Lonchura striata: one gene and its partners. The protein of the gene in region 3 purifies or fractionates together with the protein of the main gene of each other region. This does not show direct contact. Links are inferred from orthologs where the notes say so. Each region holds a gene or a part of one and is shown on either strand. Other genes may lie near its edges. The genes, in order: MTF2, PHF19 and EED.

Region 1 (9,569 bases), on a different chromosome or scaffold from region 3:
GGTGGTTGCTTTGGGTTTTTTTTCCCAGCCATCTCAGTTCACTGATCTGTTTAACAGAACAGTTTGTAAGCACAACTGAATAAATGCAAACAAGCAACTTGGGACACAAACCCCCTCATGTGGCACTGCCAGACTGCATGACCTGAGCTAGTCAGGTTCACTAACAATCTATACAATTTCAGGAAACTTTTCAAGAAGAGCTGCCCTATTCACAAATGCTGCAACAGTAACAGATGATAGCTACCCTATCAGATAGTTTTTGGAAGCATTAGAGATACTAAATTTTAACAACACAGTGTCCAAAAGAACATTAAGAGAAAATTTTAATCTACTGAAAAAACTCAAAGTGGGACAAATAGCTCATTTATTCCTAGTAATTACAAATCACAGTGAAGGGATGATTACTTCAAAGATTTATCAGAAGGTAATTCAGATAGAAATCACACACAGAGCATTCTACTAAGATAGCCCACAGAGTTTAGGACCCATCTCAAAACTGGAAATGTGGTATCCCACAGGAAAGGAAAATATAGTGAAAGATCTTATGACAACTGGAGAGAATAACTTCAGATTATGGAAGTATGATGTTACTGCTAATTAACTGCAAATTCTTTTGGTCTGAAGTTGCCAACTAGTCCTTTATTACCTTTTATTGGAGAAAACTGAACTATGAAGAACTTGTAAGATGCTGTAAAACAACCAGCAGTCTGTTCTTCTCTCCTTAAAACAGGAAAGTTAACACTGCATGCAATGAGGGGAGTGGAGGTGTAGCAAGGGCTCAGAACACAGAAAACTCACGGCAGTTTCACACATGGCTTATCCAATACAGCAGCTTGCTTCCTTCCCAGCAACTCTGGAATAACAAGCTCGCTTCTCCATTAACTTCCTATTCAGTTTTCTTTCCCTTAATATGAATTCACTGACTGATATTTAAAACATACTGAAGTACCTCACAGAGAGATCTGCTGACTAAACAAGCCAGGTACAGAACAAGTGCTCACAGCTAGAAGACAGCAAAAAAGGGAAATTAATCCTGTCTGAGAGTAATAATCATAGCTTGTTTACCCAACTCCACATAACCAAGCTAAAGCCATGTTCCCAAAATTGCCTATGACCTGGATCTGGTACCTACATTAACAGCTGGAGAAATGTTGGATCCTGGCCACATTTCTTCCTTTCAGCTTCTCCACTATTTATAAGACCTCATGCCAAAAATTATCTGGTCACTGTGGCAAACATGAACAAAGATTCTCCCCCAAATAAGAAGATTCTGCTGGGCCAAGAAGACAGTTAAAATTAACAGAATGATAAGTCAAACTTAAGTTAGTTTCCTCCACCCCAACCCAGGTCCAAACTTCAGATCAGGTTGATTCAAGGGTAACAAATTAAAAAAAAAAAAAACCAAAAAAAAAAAAAAAAACTTTGCTTTTCATAATACTAACATTACTGCAACAGTCACTTTTCAATTACATGTAGACAGGCTATTATATTAGTACATTGCCATTAACTTTTATTAAGCAAAGGATCAAGTACAAATCCAGATCATAGTCTATCCTCTACTTCATAGACTGAAATAGATATTGCTTTTCCAATGTGCCATATCATACAACATCTACAAAATACACTTGAAGCTCCTTGTCTTTACACTATTCTGCATGCTGGCACAATCAAAAGCCAACTGTACCAAAGAAGGGCAAGGGGACTCTAATCTAAGCACTTCTCAGTCTAGAAAAGCAGAGAGAAATGACTGGGGAATAAGAAATACATGAGGCCAAACCCTGTGCGCCCCGTTTCACTGGTGAGCTGCCACCCTGGGGAGGGGGATGTTCCCTCTCCCATCAGAATCTCTTATTTCTGTGTAGGCACCTCTTATCCTCCTGCCATGTATTGCTGTGAAGAGACTAATTGCATCAAACTAATTTTCTCATAGGAGCTGGAAGGCTGAAGTTATGTCACCCTGAAGCTGAATGAACCTGGCTCCCTAAGGCCCCTCTCACAGGGCAAGTGCTGCACTTCCTGACTGTCCTGGTGGCCCTACACCAAACTCTTCTAGTTTATGTCTCTTGCAGTGGTAGCACCAAAACACAGCATTCTACTGAGATGCTGTCCAATGACTTTTGTGTAGAAGGAAATAATCATTTCCCCTCAGTCTTCTACTTCTATTATTAAGGAGACCACTTGCCTTAGCTCACAGGACACAGTGTTAGCTGATATTCTGCTTTCTGTCAGACCCCCAGACAATCTTGCAAAGCTGACCTCCAGCCAATCATAGCCTGGGGTTCCCTCTTCAGATGCAGGACTTTGCTTTCTTATCTGTTGAATTTCATGAAGTTCATGTTCAAGCTCACCCTTCAGCCTTGCTGAAACTGAGGCTGGGTGAGGTTCTCCCCATGTTCAAAAACCCTGCCATTTTTAACACAGAACATGGTCAGGCTGTTCAGGCCATGATTTATATTTTTGGCAACTGTTACCAGTCACCTTTCCATGCATCCAGAAACATCCTCCAGGAAGACTTCGTGCCTTCCCTAAAGACCAAGTGAAGCTAACCAGCCCATGGTTCTCTGGGTTGAACACTTAAGCCCTTTCCAAAGATGGCTGTAATATGTACAATTCTGTAATCATTATGGATTAGCCCTGCTCTTCACAACCTGTAATAATGAGGAAGAGCCCTACAAGAACATCACATAGTTTCCTTGGTGCTCTTAAAAGCAGCCTGGTCCCACAGGCCTACATGAGTCAAGTTCACATGTTCATTCAAATGTGCAGCAAACCAATTCATAGGCCACTCCAGCAAAGCTTAATAAATCCACCATGAATAGAGGTTAAAATATCATTTAAGGCAGAACAGCTTTGTCCTACCAATGATGTCAGGGTAACCATTCTGTATAAGCTGCTCCTTGTCAGTAAGATGAGAAATTGTAATTTGCTTATTCTCAGCTTTAGCCAGTCAACCCTACAGTACCCACGATGATCAAATGTGATTTCACATAACACATTACTATCCCAATAGGATGGTGGGCTCTGGTGAGGGTTTTAATTCTTTCAAAGGGCCTTATATTTTGGCTATGATTTTCTTTCTCTGAATTCTTCTGTCTGGTTAGATTCTTTAGGGAACTCTCTAGTTATCAGGGAATATATTTTTATTTGTGAGTTATTAAAATAGAGCCATGCATTCAAAAGTATATACATCACATTAAGTGACAAAAATAATAACTTTTTCTTCTAAGAAATAAAAAACTGGTAATAAAAACTAAGTGAGGCCCCGCAGCCTATTAATCTGATTAGCAGTTATGTCTATCTATGAATCTGCTGTATATCAGAAAGAAGTTTAGCCAGAGGACTCAGGGGAAGTGACTGACTGTGACACAAAACTTGTTAGACAGCATCTAGATAGAATACTGTGGTTTTGCTCTCTGACCCTGTGAAATTACTGTCCTTAATAACGTTGATGCATACTGTTAAAAAGAGATGGTCACCAGGGTAAGTGTACTCCCATGCTCATAATACTACAGTCATTTCTGATTTTATTTTTGCTCACATTCTCCCTCAAGAAATCTTAACTAACTAGAAGTGTTTTAAATTTCTTTGATATAAACACTGAAAGGGTTAGAGTTTAAAAGATCATTACCAAACAACATATTTAGTAGGTAGGGAAGAAAGGCAGGGCAGTTGTGTACAGCAAGAGCCATTTGTCTGGGGTTGATCATGTGTTTGCACATGAAGGTACAGGGAGAAAACAATGGTACCGGGTCACAAGGTCACAAGACACCTTTTCCGACCAAAATTCCACTTAATTGTATCCCCAGCACCTCTGTGAATACAGCAACTGCCTTTTGGGTTTCTACAGTATCCAAATCCAGTACCTCCAACAACAGACCTAAGGGAGTGTGAGCACCCACCCCAGCAACGAAAGAAATAACAGACAATATGCTACCTTGCTCTGGGAGAAGTGGGAAAGAAAAAGGATTTCAGAGCTGACCAAAATAATAAGTTATCTTCTTTAAGGTCAGTCTGCAAGAACAGCTACCTCCATAAGCATTCCAAAGAATTAAAAAAATAAATAGATCTAAAACAGAAGTGAAGATATTTAGCTAATGAAGTATGTCCAGAGTCATCAGGAACGCTCTCATCAGTAGCACTCCTTCTCTCAAAGAATGTTAAGCACCTTGATTTCACTCTTCCATGGAGATTATCTCTCCAGCCATACCTGTGGTTTTATAATTCTTCTCCTGTTGTGTTTTGCTCAAAGACACACTTCCCCTCCATTTCCAGCAAGGAAGGCCTGTGAAGAAGGTGAAACCAACTCTGCAGCAAGGCCAGTGGCCGCTCACACAACAAATGTGTTCAATTCACAAACTAATCAAAGATTCATACTGGCTTCTAGTCACATCTCCAAGCTTCCTTCTCTACAACTCACATGAAGAGAACAAAATATGCTTCAGTGCCTCTACATTAATTCACATCCATCTCCAGGGAATACTGAAGTCCACTGTCCACTAGGAAATTAACTGGAACTTATTTGTTACAGCTGCTCTTCTCATAAATTTTACCTGACCTCCTGGTACAGGGAAGGACAAACATAACTTCATACTAACTACCAATACATGTCTCTTTCACCTATTAAAAAAATAGATATACCCTGCTGATTAGCTATATTAAGTCATATGAGAAGCGTCTAGATCTGATTTTAAATTCTTTCCAGAACAGAAAAGGCAAGTTGTTGAGAAGCCACACATGTGTATTTGACAAAATAAGGGTTAACTGTGGAAAACATTACTACATTATACTCTCAGCACAGATCTACTTTTCACAGCTTGTAGCTCCTTGCAAAGACCCTTCTCATTTTCACTGTATTATGCATTTCCTTTCATACGTTCAATCTTTGTTTTCCCTTATTCTCCTTTAAATGAAAAGCTCTGAACTCATTAACCTGTGTTCTAATAATACAGAAATGAAACATTTTCACCTCTTCTTTTAATCTCAAATGCTTTCAAATTAAATGTAATTTGAGCTCTCCAAAAAAAAAGGACAAACATTACCAGGTTAACTTTTACCCACCCGATTACAGATCAAAAGGAAAAAAACAAGAGGGAAACTTTTTTGTTATTATCCCATACTTTTGGCAGTTTGAGTGTATATCATTGATCACATTCCCTTACATTAAGTCAGGAGAAAGCCATGTTATTATCCATTACTGCGTTTGACCTTTCAAAGTTATGATAAGCTAGGCCTATCACAAATTCCAGAAACAACCATAATGCTACACTGCTTTCCTGGCAGAATCTTCCATTTAATTATGCAGGCCCTTTACTTCTAATAGCACCCTGATCCTCTATGGATGAACGACAACCCTTGGTATTTCAACACTAATATCAGTGTTCAGAGCATCCAGCACAGAACCATATTGTTCTCTTTCACTACAAGAGGTATCAGCCCATTCTTTCCAAAGAATTCAATACCAAAAAAAAGGAAAACGCATTACTGCATACCCTTTCAGCCAGCAACAGTTACTACATTTAAGTGGACTAAAAACCTGCTGTGCACATCCAAATCGTCAAACCTCACTGAAATTAAGAGGCGAGGCACTTCAAATAAACAAAAGAAAAAAAAAAAAAAAAGAAGAAAGAAAAAGCCACAGAAGAAAATCCCAAACAAACAAAAAAGCCCCAAACACAAAGTTACCAACGAAAACCACTACCTCTTTGTGCTGCTCTCTTCGCACTCGAGCAAACGCAGCCTACTCGGACAATATCCTTGAAGGAGAAGACGAAAATACAGCTGGCGCGAGGCTGATGGCACCTCACCGCTGCAGCCCCCGGCCCCGCCGACCGGCCCGCTGCCTCCCTCCCTTTGTTTTGGTCACCGAGGAGCACCACTGACCCCTCACATTCGCCTGCCGGCGGCCGCCCGGGAGCTCCCTCCCCCTCCCTCCCTCCCAGGCCTCGGGCTCCCCGCCGGAGCGGGCCCCTGGCCGCGCTCCCCGCCGCGGGGCCGGGATGCGGCGGGGCCGGGATGCGGCACCGCCGGCCCGGCCTGCGGGGATCGCGCCCCCCCCACCGCGCGGGCCCGGCCGCCCCCCCATCCCTCACCTCATTCGGTCTCCCCAGTGGTGCCAACAGCCTCATACAGGGAAATCGGCGAGCTCGGGAGCCTCCCCCGGCGGCGCGGCGCGGTGCGGCCGGGCGGTCCGCGCGCAGCGGGCCCCCCGGGCACGGACCCGAGGCGGAAGGCGGCGAGAGACGGTCAGACCCGCCTCACGGGCAGCCCGGCCCCAGCGCAGCCCCTCGCCATTTTTGTTTCCCGCGGAGGAGGCGCTGGTGCATTCTGGGAGCACAAAGGGCCGCGGCCCCGCCCCGGCGGCCCCGCCTGCGCCGGCAGCGCCGGGGGCGGGCGCGGGGCGCCGCGGCGGAGGGACACGGGCGCAGCCGAGCCGCGGCCGCCGTGAACAAAGGGGGACTATTTGAGGCGCGCGCCCGCGCGGAGCGGTGCGCGCCGCCGGGCTCGCTGCGGCCGGGCGCTCATTGTTCCCGCCGCACCTGAGGCGATGCGGCGCGGCCCGGGCCCCGCGGAGCGCCCGGCCGGGCTCCGGGGAAAGATCCCGCCCTGGAGCGGCGGCCCTGCCGTCTGGAATGACCCCGGGTCCGCCTTCTTGCCGCGGCGGTTGGCCAGGCCCGGCCCCGGTACCGGAGGCTGCAGAATGCACAGTGTGCTCCTCTGCGCCGACATCGGGATGCTGCCATTTTAGGAGATGAGCTGAACCTCAGTTCCAGGTGTTAGCAGCAGCTGTATTAGCTGAGCTAATGGAACGGGCTGAACAGGGACTCATGGAGTCTCCCTTTGGGTTCATTCAAAACCCACCTGGACACGTTTCTGTGTTGCCTGCTCTAGGTGACCCTGCCTTGGCAGGGAGATTTAACTAGATGATCTCCACAAGTCCCTTCCAACACCAGCAGTTATCTGGTTCTGGAAATACCTTTTTGTTTTCCATCATTGTGTTTTGTGGTTGTTCAGACTCCAGTACTGGGCTAGTGTCTATAGTCCGCATCGTTAAGCACAGCAATTGGCCCAATGCCACGTTTATAAACACTGCAAAGCTTGGCCTAGCCCTGTAGCAGCCTTTGCTGTGTGCAGCTCTGCCCAGTGCAACACCAGAGTGCCAGCGGCCCTGGATCAGATTTCACCCACTGGTGTCACTCAGGAATGGCTGAACTCAGAAGAATGGATGGAGAATTTAGGATTCCAGTCTCTCTCCTGCTCAAACAGCCTAAGTTCTCAAAGCCATCTTCCCTCTTGGGATAAGCAACTGAAACTAAGGTACTGGAGCAGTTTGTCATCCCTGGAAAAGGGCACAGGGAGGGAAGCCTGGGCAGACCACTGGAGTACAGCTTAGTCTGGCCAGTTCCTAGTTATGTCAGAATAAAGTAGTATTTATAATCAAAATCCTTTTTTCAGAGTTGTTTTAAATACAAATTTGACGGGATAGTTCTCCCTTGGATGCACTAGCTAGATACTGTTCAGGAATTGTGATGGTCTGCTAAAAACAGACTTGGACAACACAAAGGGCCCCATTTGCTCTTTACAGATTTTCATGTACAGTGAACAGCAGTCAGGTACTGCTGGTGCTGAAGGCAAAGGGTTGCCAGCTGGAGAAAAAGAAATAGTCTCAATCTGATGTATATCCATATACAAATTATTGTTTTTAAATCACAATGGTTGTGTGAGAACCAGTATTAAGCTAAGTTAAAAAACAAACTTTCTAGTCAGCAACAGATTAAACAGCAGTAATTGGCTACATCACAGTTTCCTTTTTCAGTGTCATACTTGGAAGGTATTTCTAGCCTGCTGTCCTACTGTATCTTTAAAATTAATTTAATCATAATTTTTTGAAGTAGAATCAGTCACCTATAATGTAAATTGTTTCACCACCAGCTCCAAAACCCCGAAAAGCTCAACATGAAATCTTGTGACAAGGAAGACATGCCATCTCTACACTCCTTGCCCTTAACATACTGTTCCCAGCAGGAGTTTGCAGAACTTATTACTGAATTGCAGAGCTGCATGGTTCCATCCTGCCCATAAAGCATCACTTGTCACAAAGCTGGGGTTTGCTGCTGGAATAGCAGTATGTGAGAGCAGCACAAAAACAAACTAGGAATCCCTACATTCTATAAGAATAATTAGGGTTTGATAAATTTATTTGTTTGCTATTACACGGATTGCATTAGTTAGGCCATAATGTACCCCCAAAGCTTGTTACTTTTAGCCTTATTACTAAAAAGAGCAGACTATGAGTATTTTACCACAGCCTTAGTTCCATGTAATTCTCCTATAATATCCAAGAAAAGCAATATGAGCTCATAGCCAATCACTAAGGGAAAAAAAAAATCTAAACTCTGTTTCCTCTAAACTCGCCTACTACTGGTAGCTAGAAAGATTCCAAGCTCCATAACTCCCACATAGACACCTCATCCCCCAGTGACCTAATTTAGTAACTCACAGTATAACATCCTTTGTGATCACTTCAGCAAGTCACTGAATTTCCATGTGACAGGCAAGCCCTTTTCCAGAGCAGAAGTTGTGTGACTCCTACACATCCAGTCCATCTGCTAGATCAGGTAAATCAAATGGTTGAGGGGTACATAGACACAGGTGACTTCACTTCAGTAACTTGTATTCCAGGACAAGAAATTTGATTATTCGTCTGCACAGCCTGACCAGAGTATTACAAGGTTGGAAACCTTACTGGAAATGTGCAAAATCTCTTTTACAAATGGTGTTTCAATTTAAAATGCTCAAACTGGCAAACCTATATTTGCAGAAGGAGGATCTTTGTTAATGACTGACATGTGGGGCAAAAAAATAAACAACAATAGCAAAATTTGCTGGGTTTAGCAATTTAGATTGTGTAAACAACTTTTTCTAGCATTCCTGTTACTATACTATGAGACATGCATGATTAATCTGATTTGGAACATGTTAGAATCTTTCTCTGTTTTGTATTCAGTGCAAGTAGTAAGTAAAATATCCAGTTATTTCTTCTGTTCATACTTGGCAAGAGTGTATGTCATGCCTTTAGAAGGAACTTTCTTAACTTCCTTTTTTGTCTTCTGCTAATATCTCAAAAGTATTTTGAAATACAGCTTAAGCAATCTTGCCTTGTGTGTTTTCAATTCCAGATATACTATGTCTGTACTTTGATGCACAGAGTGACCAAAGCCAAATTAAGTTACTTTACCTGCAATGTCAGTAAGGGCTTTCTTGTGTAGAAGTTTTGGAGAAAAAAAGACTTTTATTATCTGTTGTATTCTGCTTAATAATAGGTATATTCAGCTTTATTCCACATCATCTTATAAATAGCTGTGTGTTAGAAAGAAGCTAAATAATAACAACCTAGCACTGTCTTTACCTGTTTATATTTGTCCATATACTGTTAGGCAATATCTTGCCATAAAGACATGCAAAAGCAAAGTGTTGGATTTTAAAAATTGTATCTTGCCTTGCTGGCACAGCAGAGAAAAGCTAAATTTCATATTCAGCATGTAAATTCCCCAGTACCCAGCAGAGGTGGA
Region 2 (9,569 bases), on a different chromosome or scaffold from region 3:
GGAGAGGTGGTCGGGTTGAGACCCTCGGAGCAGAGGGAAAAGAGGGGGAATGAGCAACCGGTGGCAGCCACTTCTTTAGTCAGGGATGTGTCCCACGGCACCGGCCGCTCCGGTTTGCCCCGGGGAGCCGCGCTGGGTCAGCCCCGGGGCCAGCGGGAGCCGCTCCCGTCTCCACGCCAGGCCTGGAGCTCCCGGGAGCGCCGTGTTTGGGTTTCCATTCAATATTCCTCGGCTTCGGTCTCCAAGGCTACACGCCAACATCCAACCCCTCCTCCCACGCCTGTTTTCAAAGAAAGAAAAACACTGTGAAAAGAGGCTGCGACGATCGCTGGGCAGTTTTCAAAGCAGAGGCAGCGCTGGGAGCTGCTCTCCCCGCACACTCCGCAGGCTCTGCTCCAGCCCGGGCCGTGATTCCCGGCTGCTCCATCCTTTTCCAAGAGGGAAAGCACCTCCCCCTCGGCAAGTGCAGGGTGTGGGGAGCAAGTAAAAGTTTTTAAGGAAAAAATGGGAGTTTGGAATAGTTACCTACACGGGGTTTTATTCAAATCCTTCTGCAAAAACTGGGGGTTTTTTGGGAATTCCATAGCGGGGAGGGAGCTGGGAGTCCTGCCCTGGAGCCTGTGCTGGCCCCGCTCCTTGGCCGAGGAGGGTGTGGATTGCTGCCCTCAGCTTTGCACCACTTTTGGGGCTCTCGTTCATTTCTGTTCCCTTGCTTACAGAATAATCTGCTTTTACCGGCCGGGTACTCCTGCCCTGCTCCAGCACAGACATCGGGGCAGCCTTGGGTGCCAAACCAGTGCCCAGCTCCTCCAGGTGCTGTCACAGCCCCAGCACCTGCCAGGGACCGCGATCCCACAGTGCCAAAGAAATGGGATAGCCAAGGGATAGCTAGGCGGGTGTGCAGAGGAGGAAGAGGAGGACGAAGAGAAGGAAAAAGAGGAGAAAGAAAGATGAGGAGGAGGAAGAGAGAGGCAGCACCCAGTAGCTCACTGCAGTGAGATCTGAGGCCACGCTTGCTGGGTGCTGGGACAGAAGCACCTGCAAAGAAACCAGAGTTAAATCTGGTTTATGTTGCTATAATTATGTTGCTTCATTCCGGTTAGAAAATACGGGATACATCTCAAATGCTGGTTTGTTTGTTTGTTTGCGTGGTTTTTTTTTCATTTTTGTTGCACACTCTTGTCCCGACGCGATGTTCCCGTGCTCTCTCTCCGCGTGGAAGGCTTTCAGTCAGGCTCTCCCTGCGTACACCCCCGGTGAACTCGATCCAGCCTTTGATTTCCGCGTCACACCATCCGCATTCCTGCGGCACGCTGCAAGCAGCAGCCGCGGGGGCCGGGAGGAGGGTGCTGCTCCCCCGGTGCCCCCGGGACAGGCTGCGACAGGAACGCTGTCCCGGGAGTGCAGCAATCTCTGGGATTCGGGGCAAACGCAGCAGCCCCGAGGCACGGAGCGAGGAGCGGGGCTCCTCCGAGGGTTGTGGGCAGAGTTATTTTAGTCCTGAGGTGACTCACACTTATCCCGGTGTGACTCACGGGGAGCTGGGGCCCGGGGCTGGTTAGGGGCACGGCACGGCACGGCACGGCACGCTTGGCACACACGGCTTTCCTCACGCAGCCCCGCACAGGGAGCAGCAGCAGAGCGGCCGTGCCGGACCCGCGGCTCAGGAAATCGCTTTTCCCGTCCCTCCGCAGGTGCAGCATCACAGGGAGCGCTCTGACACCCGCGTTTTGTGGGAATTTGGTGAAATAAATGGTTCCCGGGTGCCGGGTGCTGGAAGGGAGGCTCAGCCCGTGCCGTGCCGCTCGCCGCTGGCTCCCGGGAGCTGCTCGCTCGCAGCTCCGGTTTGTGACACGTCTGAGCCCCAGCTCCCGGTGCCGCATCCATCACGGACAGCAAAAGCCGCAGGGACTCTGCTCGCGCTTGGCCCAGACCCGGCACTGGGAATCAGCTCTCCTATGGCCCGAGCAGCCTGGAAAACATTGCTTTTCCAGGATCGCTTTCCAACAAACAGCAAATCCTACAGATTTCTTCTTGGCACCGACCGAAGCATTTTTGCAGCGATTGATTTTCTCTCTGAGATTCAGAGAAAGGCTGCAAGGCTGCTCCCGCTTCCAGGAATCCCGGCGAGCACAGGTCGTTCCCTCTGGGGACAATGCTCCGCGGGCACTGCCCGCATCCCTTCCCCTGCCCGCCCCCCGCCCCGGGGCACCGGGGGAAGCTCTGTCCCGGCTGCAGCCGCGGCTCGGAGGGGACAGGCGGGGAGGTCCCGCGTGTGGCAGAGGGTGACGGTGCCTCTCCACGGGCAGTGGGTGCGTGGCCGACCCTGGGTGCCCCTCCTGGACCCAGGGATGCCGCCTGCGCTCTCCGGAGCACCGGGCCGGCCCGAGCAGGGATGCGCCGAGCCGGGATGTGCCCCGCTCGGTTCCTATCGATGCCAATCCATGCCGGTCGGTCGGTGCCGGTCCGTGTCACGCCAGTGGGTCGGTGCCAGCCCGCTCCGGTTCGATCCGTGCCGTGCCGCTCGGTCGCTCGGTGCCGCTGGGTGCCGTGCGGTGCCGGTGGGTGCCGCGGGGATGCGCTGCGCCGCGGTGGGACCGGAGCCGTGGGAGGCGGCGGGGGCGGCCCCGCTAATTGCATAACCGGGACGTCAATGCCGGCGGGAGCGCGGGGGAAGCGCGGGAAGATGGCGCCCCGCGCCCGGCCCCCGCCGCGCCCCGCGGCTCCCGGGCCCCGCGCCCCGCGCGCCCGCTGAGCGCGCCGGGGCTCCGCGGTAAGGGCGGCGCCGCCCCGGCGGGCACCGGGCGGGACGGGCGGGACGGGCGGGCGGACGGCGCCGCGGCCGCCTTTGAATGAGCCAATGGCGGCGGGGCCGCGGCGCCGCTCGGGGCTGCCCGCCGCCACCCCCGGCAGGTGCCACCGGGGCTCGGGCAGCGGCCGGGCGCTCCCGCTCGTGTCCGCGGGGCCGGGGGGGGAGAGCGGCGGGAGCCCCGGGGGCGCGGAGCCGCGGGACACCCGGGAAGGGAGCGGCGGGGGAGCGGGGGGAAGCGCGGGGGGCTCCGGGGAGCGGAGCCGCCGCCGCGCTCGGGCGCGCTCCCACGCGGGAGCCGGCGAGTGCCGCTGCCGGGACGTGTTGCGGATCGGGAGCGCCGGGCTGTGCCGGGAGCGGGATGGCTCTGCCCGTCCCGGGGCTCTCGGGGAGCGGGAGAGTCCTCGTGGATGGCAGAGCCGGGCAGAGGGGGCTCGTGTCGCCGGACACGCGTGGTGCCACGAGGCCACGTGTGTGGCCGTGACGGGAGCGCCAAGGGGAGAAAAATCCCTTTCAAGTCGTTTCCGTGGTGTCCTTCGGGATCGCAGCTCTGCTGTGGGTGATTTCTTTGCCTGCTGCCCCCCAAACCTCGTGGCGGTGACATTTGGCCGCCTGGGTTCGCTCGCGGTGGGTGGTGCTGGCACATCCCTGCTCCTGCAGCAGTCCCGGTGGTTTGGGAGCCCGCAAAACTGCGGGAAATGGTGGTTTTAAAATCACAGTACATTTAAAGCTTTTATTCCTTATGTGCCCCTTCCCAAAACTGAACCATGCGGACCTGTGGCGTGTCCCAGCGCTGTGGGAGCCTGCCAGGGGTTAATTCCCTCTTGTTCGCCAGTAGCAAAGATTTGGCTGCTCCCTGGATTTCGTGGAAAGGAACCGTCTCATCGGCTCTGTTTTGCAGTGTCCTGGGCCCCTGCTGGTGGGGCAGCCTCATTCCTCCCAGGCAAAACGCTCAGGGATGCTGCGGCGGGCTGATGTGGTGCCGTGCCGAGCGGTGACAGCGTGTGTGTCCCCTGCAGGCTCTGCTGATGGAGACCACGGAGCTGAAGCCGCTGGGCCGGGACGTGTACGGCCGTGTCCCGCCGGCAGCGGGCTCGGCGCGGCGCGGCAGCGGCTGCCGGGAGCTGATGGTCCGGCTCACCGAGGGGCAGTACGTGCTGTGCCGCTGGACAGACGGGCTCTACTACCTCGGCAAGATCAAGAGGGTAACGCGGGCACCCCCGGGGGAACGGGAGAACCCGAAGAGGTGCCAGCGCCAGCGGAGCCGGTGCCGTTTCCCGGCCCAGTTCGTGGCCTGGGCTGCGGTGCGTCCTCGGTCAGCAGGGCGTTTTGGGTTGGCATCCTGCCCCGGGTGTCACGCCCCAAACCTGGCTGCCCGCAGCCCCGAGAGACAGCATCAGGCACCAAGGAAAAGAGGGAAGTGCTGGGAATGGGAGCTGACCCACAGCGGTTCTTCCTGCTCTCTTCTGGCAGGTGAGCGGCTCCAAGCAGAGCTGCCTCGTCACGTTTGAGGATAACTCCAAGTACTGGGTCCTCTGGAAGGACATCCAGCATGGTGAGTGTCGCCCCAGCCTCCCTTTCCCGCTGCCATGCTGCGGGACCCTTCCCAGCAGCACGGGGATGTGGCCGTGCCACCTCTGTCACCCTGGTCCCACAGCCGGCGTCCCGGGGGAGGAGCCCAAGTGCAGCATCTGCCTGGGGAAGAAGTCGGGCCCCAGGAACGAAATCCTCATCTGCGGGAAGTGCGGGCTGGGTGAGTGTGGGTGTGCCACCCCGGGCCCTGCCGTGCCCGCCCCAGGCGAGGCTGGGCTGATGCCGAGCCCTGCCGCAGGTTACCACCAGCAGTGCCACATCCCGGTGGCGAGCGGCGGCGAGGGCCCGCTGGGGACGCCGTGGTTCTGCCGCCGCTGCATTTTTGCCCTGGCCGTGCGGGTGAGTGGGGCTGCCCCGTGCTCCCGGCTCCGTGCGCCGCCCGTCCCCGGCACGGCGGGGCAGGACGGGCTCCCCGGGGGCTGTGCTGAGCCCGGCCCTGGCTCTCCCACAGAAAGGGGGTGCCCTGAAGAAAGGAGCCATTGCCAGGACGCTGCAAGCCGTGAAGATGGTGCTGTCCTACAACCCCGAGCTGCTGGAGTGGGACTCCCCGCACCGCACCAACCAGCAGCAGTGCTACTGCTACTGCGGCGGCCCCGGAGAGTAAGGCTGGCCTGTGTCACCATTGGCTTCGTGGGGAAAGGAAGGTGGGATCAGGGTGGGCATGTTTGATCCCTGATGTGCAGGGCACTGCCCTGAGGCCAGTGGTTCTGCTCCCCACGCTGCCTCTGCTATCTGGGTCTCTGTTTGCACAGAAACACCAGTGAGGGACGCAGTTCTCTCCCTGCCTGGGGCTCTGTGTCTGGGAGGGGACGGGGGCAGTGGCTGCCACATGCTGCCCTCACTGTCACCGTTCTGTCCCTGCCCAGGTGGTACCTGAAGATGCTGCAGTGCTACCGCTGCCGGCAGTGGTTCCACGAAGCCTGCACCCAGTGCCTCAGTGACCCCATGATGTTCGGAGACCGGTACGGCCCTTCTGGCCCTGGCTGTGTGTCCCTGATCCATCTGACACCAGCACGGGTCAGGCCCTGCCCCACAGAGCCCACTCCTCCTGGCCTTGCTGTCACCGTTGGCACTGTCCCACCTGGGCCCTGCACAGCTGTGTGTGATCCTCGCTCCCAGCATTTTCCCTGATGTTTTCCAGGTTCTACGTGTTTTTCTGCTCTGTGTGCAACCAGGGGCCGGAATACATCAAGCGCCTGCCCCTGCGATGGTGAGAAACGGGCCCTGCCTCCTTTGGGATGTGCCCGGGTGGCTCTGGGATGTGACACCAGGCTGGCTGCTCCCTGCAAGTGCTCAGGACCAGGCTGGACAGGGCTTGGAGCAACCTAGTTTAGTGGGAGGTGTCCCTGCCCATGGCAGGGGACAGGACTGGACGATTTTGAAGCCCCCTTCCAACACAAAGCATTCTAGGATTGTGTGTTTGGGTTTTCCCCCAGCTGCAGGCAGTGTGCCACCTCTCCCCAAAGCTGAAGGGATGCTGTCCTGGCTGTGGCATCTGCTCAGAAACATCTCTGGGCTGGGTTGCCTTCCCTGTGAAGAGTGGGAAGGTTCCAGTGGTGGGTTTGGGAGGCCCTGGGAGCTGTAGTGGCGCTGGCAGAACAGGGCATGGTGGTTACACCATCCTGCCAGGGCTGCTGACCCTGTGCCCCCCTTTGCTGCAGGGTGGACATCGTCCATCTTGCCCTCTACAACCTGGGTGTGCAGAGCAAGAAGAAATACTTTGACTTTGAGGAGATCTTGGCCTTCGTGAACCACCACTGGGACCTGCTGCAGCTCGGGAAGGTACAAACACCCCCTGGGCTTGTGCTGGAGAGCAGCCATGGGAGTGAGAAATGTCACCCCAGCTCGTGCAGCACTCAGCACGGCACCTCCTGCTCCAGAGGAGCTTAATCCCCTTCCTCTGCGCTGGGATTTCCCTCGTTGGAGTGTCAGACCTGACACCTCTCCCAGCTGGGAGAAGCACTCGCACCGAGGCGTGCTGGAAACCCATCCCCGGGGAGGACGGGGCGGCCCCGGGGGCAGCCCCACCACACCCGGGTGGCTCTGGCCGAGCTTTGGCTCCCTCCTTGCCTGCCTCCCTCCCTCCCCGGCCGCGGGCAGGAGGCGAAAGCCGGAGTTCGGCTTCCCCCGTCTGTTTGGAGTTGGCATAAGCGCAGCGGGCGCTGAGCCCTGCCTGCCCCCCGTCCTGTCCCGCAGCTCACGGGCACCCCGATCTCCGAGCGCGGCCCCCACCTCCTCAACGCCCTCAACAGCTACAAGAGCAGGTGAGGCGGGGTGGGCACGGCCGCAGCCGGCCCTGCGGGATGCTCCGTGCCCGCCTGCCTGAGGGCTGCCCCCTCCCCTCGCCGCCCAGGTTTCTGTGCGGCAAGGAGATCAAAAAGAAGAAATGCATCTTCCGCCTGCGCATCCGCGTCCCCCCGAACCCCCCCAGCAAGGTGCTGCCGGAGAAAGCCCCCGGCGAGGGCGACAGCGGCTCCTGTGAGCTGAAGAAGAAGGGGAAGAGCAAATACGCCCATAAGGACGGGTGAGTGCCCCGCTGCCCCGCACAGCCCCGCAGCAGCAGCAGCGCCCTGCCCGCGCCCACCGCACGCCCTGTTTGCAGCCTCCTGCCGCGGCAGCTGCAGCAGCAGAAGCGGCGAGCGCGGCGCAAGAGGGCCAAGTTCCTGCTGGAGGATGCCATTCCCAGCGTGAGTCCCTCGCCCCCCTTCTCTCTGGCACTGCCCAGCCCTGGGGCTGCCGCAGGGTGGGGACAGCTCCTGTCCCCCGCTTTGGGAAGTGTCCCTTGCCCAGGCCACTCCCCGGGGCAGCGGGGCCTGGGAAGGAGCGCGGTGGCCCCGGGCAGAGGGTGCCAGGGTTGGGGTGTGGGCAGCACCCCCGCGCCAGGCAGTGAGGAGTGAGCTCGTTTTTGTGACAGAGTGACTTCACCTCGGCCTGGAGCACCAACCACCACCTGGCCAGCATCTTCGACTTCACGCTGGATGAGATCCAGAGCCTGAAAAGGTCCGTGCAGCCAGACCAGCGCTCTGGGGGCCAGGGGTGCTGCTTGTGCCAGGCTGGGGGCCATGCTGCATCCCAGCTGTCCCATCCCTATCCACAGTGCCAGCTCAGGACAGACTTTCCTGTCGGATGTGGACTCCACAGATGCCACCAGCACCTCGGGCTCGGCCACCACGAGCCTCTCCTACGAGTCCAGGTGAGGACTGTGCCCCTTGCCCCCTTCTGGAGGGGTCCTGGTGGCATGGCCAGGGGGCTGAGGGCTTGTGTCTCCCCTCTTCATGTCCCACCCTGGGGAGCTTTTCCTGCCTGTGCTCCAGAATGGGCTGGGGGTCCCAGAGTGACACTTGCTGGGGGCATAGGGTCAAAGCCATCAGTCCTTGCTGGGCTCCCCCAAATTCCTGCCTCCCTCCAGAAGCCAGCACGGGGAGGAACCTTTTGGGTGCTGCCCTCACTCGTGCCCTGTGCCCTCCCCGGCAGCCGCAGGACCGTGGGCAGCCGCAAGCGCAAGCTGGCGGTGCCAGCCTACGCCTCGGGGGCCAAGCGGAGAGGGGGCGAGCTGGGCGGGCGCCCGGCCGCGGCCACCCCCGAGGGCAGCGAGGCGGCGGCCGGCCCCGAGCGCCCCGACGACGGCATCGACAGCCACACCTTCGAGAGCATCAGCGAGGACGACTCCTCGCTCTCCCACCTCAAGTCGTCCATCAGCAGCTACTTCGGGGCCGCGGGCCGGCTGGTGTGCGGGGAGAAGTACCAGGTGCTGGCGCGGCGGGTGACGCTGGAGGGGAAGGTGCAGTACCTGGTGGAGTGGGAAGGCACGACCCCCTACTGAACCCCGCCAGCCCCGAACCCTCTCCCGGAGCCAGAGCGGAGGAGATCGGGCTGCTGGGGAAGCCCGTGGGGCGCAGGAGAGGTGCTGGTCCCTCCCCCCGGTGGAGGCAGCGCCCGGGCAGGGCTGCCCAGGAACGAAACCTGAAGCCCTGGCACTCTGGTTTTTTTTTTTAATGTTAACGATTTTTAGTTCCTTGGCTGCCTTTATGCAGAGCGTGGCCCAGCCGTGCCCTCCTGATGGAGCCCAGTGGTGCTCAGAGCAGGGTGGGGGCCTGGCCTTTCTAGAAGGGTTCCCCTGGCACAGCTGGAGCAGCTGCTTGGGGGGCACCCCACACCCAGCTCACACTGAGGGACCCCAGCCTGTGCCTGGCACAGCCCGGCTCATCCCGCTGCCCCAGCCTGCCTGAGCAGCCTCGAGGGGGTCCTGCTGCCAAAACACAAACCCCTCCTGATCCCTGGGCTCTCGCAGCTCGTCCCTGTGCCCACGGGAAACTGGGACAGCTCTTGGGGTTTTTCACCTCATCCAGAATCCATTCATTAAAGGAATGTGGTTTGTTTTATATGAGAGGAAAATGCCCCAAAATCAGCCCACAGGTGGCTGTTGCAGCCATGGGGCAGATGTGCTCTCACCCCACAACCTGGACTGTGTGTGGTGCTGCACCAGCTCCATTTCACCGTTCTGACAATCATGATCTTGGAAGAGATCTTCCAAAAAATCCTCCTTTGCCTTAAAACCACCGTGGGCACTTCACAGACGGGAGCCCAAGGCCTTTGTTTCTACAGGAATCTTCATCCCAAATGTGCCAAACCAGCAGACAAACCAAAAAAAGGCTGAAGAGGACAGCAGGGGCAGGGGCTGTGCTGGGGTGCCTGTGGCCATCCCTGTGGCCACCCCTGGGCTGTCCCTGTGGCCACCCCTGGGCTGTCCCTGTGGCCATCCCTGTGGCCTCCTGGCTGTGCCTCTTGCAGTGGTGACGTTTGTGAGCACTGGGCTTGATTTGTCTGCAGGAGAGAAGGAGCAGCCCCCTCCTTTAACAAAGCAATACTGCCAGCTTGGGCAGGAGCACAGCAGTTGGCTTTTTAAAAAAGATTCTAATAGCAGATAAATACGTTAGATTTTTATCCTTTAGAGAGACAGAGATATTTTTAAAGTCCTCTTCATCTATCCCCCATCCTCCCATGGGTGGGCCATGCTGGGCTGTGGGGTCCTGTCCATCAGCAGAGCCTGTCCTGTGCTTGTGGGATCTCAGCTCATGCAGAGCAGAGTGTCCCTGTCCTTTTGGGAGAGGTGCTGCCAGGCCCCCCTTCCCTGGCAGGGAGGGGTCCAGCAGCTGGAGAACTGCCT
Region 3 (9,569 bases):
GGATGGAGTGGGATGGGACTGGTTGAGCCACGCTGTTGCTGATCATGAAGGCACAGACTAAGATGATACTTTACTGACATAAAACTGCATGTTGCCCCTCTGCCATCATGGCAGCAGAGCTGTTAGAGCAGCATAGAGAATCCTACACCTTAGGTCAAACCTTTTCAACACTGAAGATAAACCATAAACTGAAGTGGCACACAGGCAGATTTCAGGACATTGCTGAGCTGCAGCTCACCACTACCATTGGGATGAGATCTTGTTTCTCTGCCATCTTTCACTCCTGGCTGCAGCTTCCTTTCTGGTGGTCATCAGAGAATTTGCATTTGTCTGGTTTTGCCCATTAGCTAAAGACAAAGGATCAAGTTACTTCATGCTTGATCAATTTTCTTCTGGGTTAGTGAGCTGAACTTGCTCATTGAGAGTGTTTTGAAAAGCAAAGCCCATGGAAGAGCAGTGGTGGAAAACCAGAATTAGGAACATGAAGAAGGTTTGGAAAGGGGGTGGGTGAGATATCCTTCCTTCAGTACCACTGAGCTGTCAGATCAACTCAGCTGTCTTGTCTTCTGATTCAGATCCATCTTCCATTTTAATGCAGGTTTTTAGCTCTAGCAGATGGATAACGTATGTAAGCTTTATCCATATCATCTTGAACTCCTGCAGCAAGATTTAAATGTGTGAGCTGTTCCTTGCTTTCAGAGTATGAGTCAGCCAAAGGTTTGACCCATTAATCTTTCAAAAGTGAGAGGGGGGAAAAGACTGCAGCCTTTTCTGGCTGTTGCAGTCCCATTACACAAAAGGGATGCTATGGTTTTTCATGCAGATGCTTTTCCAATTGGTTTCTAATGTTGCTGTTTTCATGAGGCAAAAACTACGTTAGCAGTCAGACTTAAAAACTGAACTGGTATTCTGAAAATCCAGCCATGTTTTCAGACTCTTAATAAAAACACCAGTAAAACAGCCTCTGTAATTGGGGATGGACTGACAGGGCTATTGGCAATACATGGAGCAGAACAGAATCCACTTTAGTTGCCATGGCTATGTTTTCCTGACAAACCCACAATTTTAAAAATTACTTTTATCCAGTTAATTCAGTAGTTTTCATCTGTAGACACAGAAAAACCAATTAGTAACAATACTAAGAAACACTTTTTATAGAACAGATCCTGGTATCAGGTAATTTAGCTGTGGGGCTATCTCTGCACAGAGGTAAAATACTATGCTACCTAAGGCAGCATAGTACTGGGGCAGCACAAAGGCCAGGCCCCCTTTGTTAATGAAGGAGCTCTAAAGAGCCAGACTTAGATGCTTCACTGAGTAACAGGAGAGGCTGGAAGAAAACAGGTATTGCCTGGGCAAAATACCACTCCATGCTCCCTGTGTCAGTGGGAACAAGAAGCTTGTTATCAAGGACTCTACTCTTTGATGTCTGCCCACTAGCTCATTATTTCGTATATCCTCCATTCCCAGCACAGCACAGCCCCTTCATCTTTAAGTTGGCAAAATTAAGGGCTACCCACACAGTTAGAAACCCTGAGCTAATTCTATGACTCTTTCTTACATATCGTCTACTGCCTACTCTTGGAGACAAAAGTTCTCAGCCACCAGGAACAGCTGATTGTCAAAATCACCACTAGAAGAAGGCAGAAGGTATGTGGACTACCTGAAGCATATCAAGGAAGAAAGACACCAGGGGAGATGTCTTGCTAGACCTGCCACAAACAAAAGTGAGCTGGTCAAAGATGAGGCTGCAGCAAATACAAGATTGTAGAGCCGAAAATCTTGAGAGACATTAGCAGTGCAAATATTAGAATCACAACCCTGGACTTCAGGAAAGTAGATTTTGGCCTACTTGGGAATCTTTTTGGCAGGATCCAATTGCTATGGGGCTCAGGGCAGGTGGTTGATCTTCAAGGAGAAGCTCCTCTAAGAAATTAAAGAGCAGTCCATTCCAATATGCAGAAAACCAAGCAAGTGAGGCAGGAGACCAGTGGGGATATATTAGGAATTCCCAGCTGAACTCCAACACGACAAGGAAGTGTATGAAAAGTGGAAGCACAGATGGACTGCCCAAGAAGAATACAGAGACATTGCTTCAGTGTGTAGGGCTGGTGTTAGGAAAGCCAAAGCTCATCTGGGAGATGAAACCAGAGAGGCAAAAGTTGTCAGGAAAGGCCCCTATAGGTACAGTAGCAGCAAAAGGAAGGCTGAGGAACATATGGATCTGCTGCTCCATGGAGCAGGGGCAGACACAGTCACAAAGGACATGGAAAATGCAAAGGACACAAATTGAAGCATGTGAATTTCTGATTAATTACAACTTTAAAAAATGATTACCATGAGGGTAATTAAACACTGAACACAGAAGACCACAGTGGTTGCAAAATATCTTGTGTTGAAGGAATTCATAACTGGACTCAGTTAGGCCTTGAGGAACTGGCTTTAACCAGCAGGGGTTAGAGATGATGAGCTTTGGAGGTTCCTTCTAACCTCCAGGATCCCATGATTCTGTGAAGAAGCTTATCTGGTAGAGAATGAATGAAAAGTGTGAGACTGATTTACTTTCAACCCATATATATATAAAAGTATTTCAATGTCCCTGAATGATCCAGAAATATTGTGGTATGTATTAAAAAAACAACAATCCAAAATCAGACTATCTATTAAGACCCCATGTCTTCGATGCATTGCAGAGTTTTTTTTGACATTTGTTATTGCAATCCTGTGAGAACCCATATTTGGCAGAGTCTTTCAATTTATATTAAATCCAGCCTTCCAAGTACCCACCATCTGTTTTTAAGTACCATTAAATCACTACTTAAAACTGACTGCAAATTAAAAAAAAAATATATATTGTTCTCCTGTTTTCCTCTACATATTATATCAAGGGCCCTATTACTTCTTAGTTAATATGTGTATGGTATTTATGTATTATATGGTATTATACTAATTAAACAAATAATGAACTATAATATATTTTTTCCTAGTACCCTTCTGGGATACAAGAAGTGCTTCTCCCATAGCACTGTTGAGAAACTGAGGCAGAGAAAAGCATGGAGGCTATCCAAAAACAATCTCAGCAGAGCACAAATTGAAACAAATTCCCTGAACTTTCAAGCTTGTGTTTAACCACACAACTAATTCTTTAAATAGAAGCTAGATGAAATGTACTATGACATTTGGAAACTGGGTTCTCCTGGTACACCAGTCTTTCATGTCTTTCGAGAAAGTGCAAGAAAAGCAAGTGGTTTAGACTAAAAAGTGTCTACAGAGGGAAGCAGAGCTATCACCTCGAGGAGGAAGTTCCCCAGCACCTAGAAGATAGGAGAAGGCACAGACCTGCCAGGACAAAGCTGTTTATATAAGGGAGATGAACTGATTGATTCTGGGAGTGGGTGGGGAACCACACTGCATAATGGCCATGAAGCACAGGCTAGCTGAGGCTTCCACTTTCCTCATGAGCTGGTGAAATGTGGTGGACTTGAACGTGCAGCTCAGCTGGCACGTCTGGAGATGTCAGCTAACAGCTGCAGGACAAAGGGGAGCACTCTTCTCCCCAGTAGTTCAAGGGCTACAGGGAGAAGTTAAAAATTCTCTCTGCTGAAAACTTTGTGCCTCCCCTTCTTTCAAAAAATTTGCAGCACAGTCGTGATTTAGTCTTAATTACAAGACACCAGTCTAAAAGAATCCTGTTGTACTCTAGAAACAAGCCTGTATATTTTCCCACAAACACTTCTAACAAAACCTCAATCTTACAGCACAGACCTACACAGGGTTTTTACCTGTAAACTTACCACCTTTTGCTATATGTTGTGCAATGCCTCATTGGAGCCTACAGTCCTGCAGAACTGTTTATTGCTAAAAACACTATAGTACACACAGCATTTGAAGTATATCTCTTCCTCTTTATCTCTGAAGTTCCTGCGAGATTAAATTTTATATACAAGGCACGGCTCACTTCTGTCACTGCCCTCAAAGCTTTTTTTGAGACTGGAATGTTTCCCTCAGGGAGAAAAGACTTGTTTCTGCCTCTACAAGTATAGCAGATAAGATGATGTGCCTGTGGGCAGATTACTTTCCCCCTTTGTTAGAAGTTGTGTGGATTTTGTTTTTTCTTCATAATTATTATGCTCTGGGACCTGTGGTTTGCGAATAAATAAATTAACAAACAAAAACCTGCAAGTGCAGTTATTTAATTTATAGCTGCAGAAGGAGCTTGCCGGGGAGTACAGAAGTAGGAAGCAGAGAAGAGCCTTTCTCTCTTATCCGGAAACACTATTCGCAGGCTGAACGACTTTTGTGGGTTAAGAGAACACCAAAACAAAACAAACCAGAAAAAACCAACAAAACAACAACAACAACAAAACCACACCAAACCAAAAAGCCCGACCCAAGAGACCCTTTGGGCACAAGGGAAGTTGGTGAGAGAGGCAGAGCGGTGGGTATCACCCGCGGCGCACGGGGCTGTTTGTTTCTCCGCCACACGCGTGCTCGGGCTACAGGCAGCGCCGGCCAAGCGCCACCACGCCGCGACCACGCGGGCTCATTCGGCTCAGCCCCCAAGACGAGCGGGGTCCCTGCGGCCCGCTGAGCCCCGCAGGCGGCGGCGGGCGCTTTCCCAGCGGCGGCAAAGGCGCTTTCCCGGCGGCGGGAAAGGCGCTTTCCCGGCGGCGGGCGGTTTCCCGGCGGCGGGAAAGGCGCTTTCCCGGCGGCGGGGCGCTTTCCCGGCGGCGGGAAAGGCGCCGCTCCGCCGGCCCGGGGGCTCCAGCCCGGGCAGCGCGGCCGCTTTACGGCACAGCCGTTCGAACCTCCGCGTCCGCGCTTTGCGGCTGCGTGGCGGTGGGTGGGGGGCGGGGAAGATGTCTGAGCGGGGAGAAGCCCCGGCGGCGGCACCGGCGGGAGAGATGCCGGCGAAGAAGCAGAAGCTGAGCAGCGACGAGAACAGTAACCCCGGGGACATGTCCGGCGACGAGAACGTGAGGCCGGGCGAGCGGCAGGCGGCGCGGGCGCGGCGGCGCGGCGGGAGCGCGCGCGGCGGCGCGGGGCCTCGCGGCGGGGGCGGGCGGGAGCGCGCAGGAGGAGGAGGGGCCGCCCCGGGCCGCCGTGAGGGGACATCGCCCTCCGGGACCCCCCGGGTGGCTCCCGGGCCGGGGAGGGCGTGAGGGAGGAGAGGGAGAAGGGGTCTCGGCCCAGCCGTCCCGGCTCGGTGGCCGCCGGAGGGAGGCCCCGGTGGGAGAGACCGGGCAGGGTCTGGGGGAGAGGCGCCCGCTGTGCTTCCACGTGGGTGAAAGTGGATTTGCGGCCCAAGCTGTGAGCGGGCGCTGTCTCGAACTCTGCTTCCAAACGTCACACTCTTTTTTAAAATTTTCCCTGCAAACCAGCAGCATTTTCCATCTTTCTTGTAGTTTTGTATCGTGTGTCTTCACTGTCACGTTGTAGAGTAACATGCAGCACGAGTTTATGTGTGCAGCCTTTTGGTGAATGAAAAGTAGGAGATGGTGCTCAAACTACTGTCAGCAGAAGGCAGCGGGGATGGCGTCTATAATCTCTAAGTTAGGTGAAATTCTAGTGTTCAGAGCAAAGGTAATGTGATTGATGTAGAATAACTTTATACCTGAAAGGTAAACTTAATCTAAGGTATCGACCAGTCACTTTATGTAGTTACTGGTGTGGAGAGGGGTTGTGTAGTTACTCTGTGTGTTTTATAATGTGTAGAAGTTTCTTTTCTGCACTTATCCAGCTAGTGAGGGAACTGGACTACATCCTCCACAACGTTTGGAAGTGGTGCTTGTGAGGTGACAGGCAAGTTTGAGATGTTCCACACCGCTGCTCTTGTTTTTTTTTTTTTTTCATAGCTTAGCAGCATTTGTGGATCCAAATGTAATTTGGTGACATATGTTCAGGCTTAATTTGTTGTCAGTTGTAGGCTATCATGGAGTGTGGAATAGGTTGCCCCATCTCTGGAGGTGTTTAAGGCCAGGCTGGATGTGGCTCTGCACAGCTTGGTCTAGTGAAAGGTGTCCCTGCCTGTGGCAGTGGGCTGGACTAGATGATCTTTAAGGTCCCTTCCAATAGAAATCACTCTGATTATATGATTCTCTGATTCTCTTATGTGGGTTGCCTCAGTGGTGAAGGGATTCTTTTTCCAAGAGTTTGTTACTGGACTCCACAACTCCTGCAAGATGGGGGATTCGGTTTAAAAGTTGACATAGTTGTGTTGATTTGGAGAAAGGGTGTGTTTTGCTCCACAGGTGTCCCGCATGCAGGTTTGTTGGTTATGTGGTAGTTGCAGATACATGGTATAGCTGCACCACACCAGCTGCCTGGTGTTCTCACGTTGGCGGTATCTGTCTAGTCCAGAGAAAACTTCAGTCTTGTCAAGTATTAAAATTCTGACATGTGCACTTGGGAGATGAGAGTTGGACAAGCTCTGATTTTTTTTTTAGGGTAAAGGAGAAGAAACAGGAAAACTTAAAAAATGTTAAATTTGGTTATGAATATTAGTGGAGGGTTGGCTCTTTTAGGGGTCCAATGTGAAGGGAATTACTCCAGATTTGGGCAGTACACTTACGGGCTTTTGTGGTATCTTTCCTCCTTTTGTCCTCTGAATGTCCTGTTTTTCAGAGTTGTTGGACAAACAAAGGCTAGTACACCTCTTCAGGCTCCTGATAATACAGACATGAAACTGGGACAGAGAATGAATGCTTGGTGGGAATTGGTGTATTAATGTTTATAGTTGACCTCATTCCATATTCCTAGTGGAGTTCCTAGCGCAGCTTTGTGAATCTCCTACAGTGACAGGCTGTTCTCTGCCTCTGTCTCCCTTAGTTCAGCTCTAGAAATTACTTAGTCTAGCATGAGATGTTTTCCCCCCACTAGTCTGATGGAAAGTGAACTATCTTGCCAGAAAAAATGGGAAAAGTTGATTTTTAACAAGCTGAACGTACTCATTTGGAAACACAGGGTTGGCAGGTACAATGCAGATGAAGGTACTGTGCTCTGTGACGGGTGATACAGGGAAATGTCCTTTTAAACAGTGCCCTGCAGTCAGACCACACAGGAAATTGTAGTTTCTGCTGATTATCCAAAGCCAATTTAAAATCTCTCAGCAGCTAGATGGGGTGTTTTGTGTATTTGTGTTTTTTCAGTTTTCACCATTCTTATCTTACACTAATGGTTGGAGGGCAAATTGGATTAGTTAGCTGATCAGAATTTAGCTTTTAGTGGAAACAAGTGAGTATCTGTGGTACAGGGGGGAGAGGAGGAACTTTGTCTTCTGATGTTGATGCTGCCCCGCTGCAGAACCGTGCTGTGAGTGGTGCTGCTGAGAGTGCACAGAAGCCTCAGAATGGCTCGGTTCTTGGTAAGGTCAAGCCTCATGTTTTTTAAAAAACAACTATTCTTCAGTTCTTCAGAAGTACTCATTTCATCTGGATCAAAGATGTTTTCTAGGGGAAGCAGCTGCTTTATCTCTAGACATTTTCTTAAGAGCAGCTACCAGTATTCTGAAGAAACGTCACTAGATCACAGTTCATAGCTCTCCCTCTTGGATTAGTCCTCATGTGATTCATGTTCTGTTTCTAGAGAGGAATGCTATTATGCTGGCATTAGATTTAAATACATGAATCTAAATAACACCAAGGCCTGAGAGATCTGTTTGTATGAATGACAAGAAGTGAAAAGGCCAAGTGCTGCAAGATTAGTTGAATTTATGCAGCAATTATGATCTCTTTGTGACAGTCTATATAATTTTGGATGTTTTCAGGATGATGCTGTTAGTATTGAAAGTGGTACTAACACTGAACGCCCTGATACGCCAACAAACACTCCTAATGCACCAGGAAGAAAAAGCTGGGGGAAAGGAAAATGGAAGTCGAAGAAGTGCAAATATTCCTTCAAATGTGTAAATAGTCTAAAGGTAGGTATGCATGAGCTTCAGGGAATGCTTGGGCATCACTTACTGGCAGCAGTGTTAATGTTGGCTGTGAGACAGCGTCAAGCTAGAGACTTTTAAATATCTTTAAGCACTTATGTTCCATGCTGATTTGAAGCAGGTACCTTTCTTTCTTGGAATAGCGAAAGTTTTGAAGAAAAAAGATACTGAGAAATAGGAAACAGTAGATAGTGCTGAAGTTAACCTTGTTTTTGTACAGTTTGCAAAGTTTTGTGTGATGCTGTGATTATATATTTCATTGAAGCTGTAGATGATAAATATAAGAAGTTGGATAAACAAGTTGAACTAGAACAAAACCTGTGACAACTCCATGCAAAACACAGAACCTGCTCAGATGTCTCTGTGCTGATAAAAAACCCAAACAAATCAACCCAACAATCTTAAGAGTAGCTTTTTCCTCACACTTAACCAGATTAGGTATTTTCTGTGCTCTGGCAGTATCATAGCTACTTGTGCAGTGCAATTTGGTTAATTTATTGTGAGTGTTGGGATCATGTGTTAGCACCTGATTCAGGCAGTGTGTATCTTCCTGTGTAACACCTGATGGTTTTAAGATATGTGGATTGATGGTCTTTATTGCTTGTTCTGCTCTTTTAGCATAGTGCTGTTTTCTTCCGCACTGGTGACAGACTATGGTGGACTGAATGAGTTTTCTCATTCGTGACTATTTTACTCTGTCAGGATGTTCTTATTTTCCTGATTCCTCAGCCTCATGTGGGATATTTATGTGGCAAGATGGGAGTTATGGCAAACTCTGTGAGGATCTGTGTAGCTCAGCAGTGGATATTTTCTGCAGAATTGCTCTAAGAGTATTTTTTCATTCCCCTATGCTTAATTGGGGAGCTGTGGTGATGTGGCTCCTTTTCTGAGCTTTGTCTTCAGGCTGCCGTAGTGAAACACTGGGGTACTTGAGCGGGAGGGGATGAAAGGTTTGGAGCGTGGAAACCTTCTAAATGAGTTTTGCCACTGGAGAAACTGTGATACGAAGTTACACTGACAAAAGTATCTGGGAAACAAATTGATCTTATTGTGTTCTTGAAGTATAAAAATTGCCTCCAGACTTTTGAGGGTGTAGGAGGAAGGGAAGTTATTTCATTTCACCAAGGTAGGCAGCAGTTCCTGTGATTCGCGTGAATCGCCCCCACGGATGGTGCCATTTGTGGCTTCAAGTCATACTTCAAACACAGACATGGGCCTTTGGACACCCAAACTTTTTACAAGTTCTGAGCTTTGTTACTCGTACTTGTTTTCTGTCTGCAGACAAAGATGGTTAGTACTTCCCAAGTGTCTTCTGGGGAAACAAAACATTCCCTCACCCCAGTGTCAATCCAGACCCCACTGTAGGGTGATCCAAAAGACCAAGCTGTGAAACTAAGCAATCCCCGACTTCCTTGGATTTGGATCAGGATCTGGGAACAGATTCCTGTGCAAGTGGAATCAAGCTATGAGGGAGTAAATGTAGCATTTCAACTAAGTGGGGTATTTTTATTAGCTTTTCTCCCCATTTCTCTTTGGTCTGAAATCAATGGTAGTAATAAGAGATGTGCATGTTAAGACAAAGACCTAAGTAGCAGCCAAATTTGGTTATTTACTTCATGATTGAGGAAGCCTCTCT

The links.
Region 1: the proteins of EED (region 3) and MTF2 purify together in Homo sapiens (affinity purification with mass spectrometry; 3 studies listed by BioGRID and IntAct, with this or other methods). This does not show direct contact. The link is inferred for Lonchura striata from reciprocal best matches to the Homo sapiens genes EED and MTF2.
Region 2: the proteins of EED (region 3) and PHF19 purify together in Homo sapiens (affinity purification with mass spectrometry; 8 studies listed by BioGRID and IntAct, counting the BioPlex papers as one, with this or other methods). This does not show direct contact. The link is inferred for Lonchura striata from reciprocal best matches to the Homo sapiens genes EED and PHF19.

The regions. Positions count from the first base shown.
Region 1 is NC_134611.1:20,717,097-20,726,665, reverse strand, and holds the start of MTF2 (metal-response element-binding transcription factor 2), read right to left. Parts: upstream 6,257-9,569; 5' UTR 6,095-6,256; coding exon 6,090-6,094; intron 5,750-6,089; exon of another isoform or gene 5,699-5,749; intron 1-5,698. UniProt on the Homo sapiens protein: Polycomb group (PcG) protein that specifically binds histone H3 trimethylated at 'Lys-36' (H3K36me3) and recruits the PRC2 complex, thus enhancing PRC2 H3K27me3 methylation activity.
Region 2 is NC_134624.1:9,392,077-9,401,645, reverse strand, and holds the start of PHF19 (PHD finger protein 19), read left to right. Parts: upstream 1-3,837; coding exon 3,838-4,014; intron 4,015-4,282; coding exon 4,283-4,364; intron 4,365-4,466; coding exon 4,467-4,562; intron 4,563-4,640; coding exon 4,641-4,741; intron 4,742-4,853; coding exon 4,854-5,002; intron 5,003-5,268; coding exon 5,269-5,364; intron 5,365-5,543; coding exon 5,544-5,612; intron 5,613-6,063; coding exon 6,064-6,184; intron 6,185-6,598; coding exon 6,599-6,666; intron 6,667-6,755; coding exon 6,756-6,926; intron 6,927-7,004; coding exon 7,005-7,089; intron 7,090-7,316; coding exon 7,317-7,402; intron 7,403-7,499; coding exon 7,500-7,595; intron 7,596-7,876; coding exon 7,877-8,225; 3' UTR 8,226-9,569.
Region 3 is NC_134604.1:34,843,869-34,853,437, reverse strand, and holds the start of EED (polycomb protein EED), read left to right. Parts: upstream 1-4,839; 5' UTR 4,840-4,859; coding exon 4,860-4,976; intron 4,977-7,765; coding exon 7,766-7,918; intron 7,919-9,569. UniProt on the Homo sapiens protein: Polycomb group (PcG) protein. Component of the PRC2/EED-EZH2 complex, which methylates 'Lys-9' and 'Lys-27' of histone H3, leading to transcriptional repression of the affected target gene.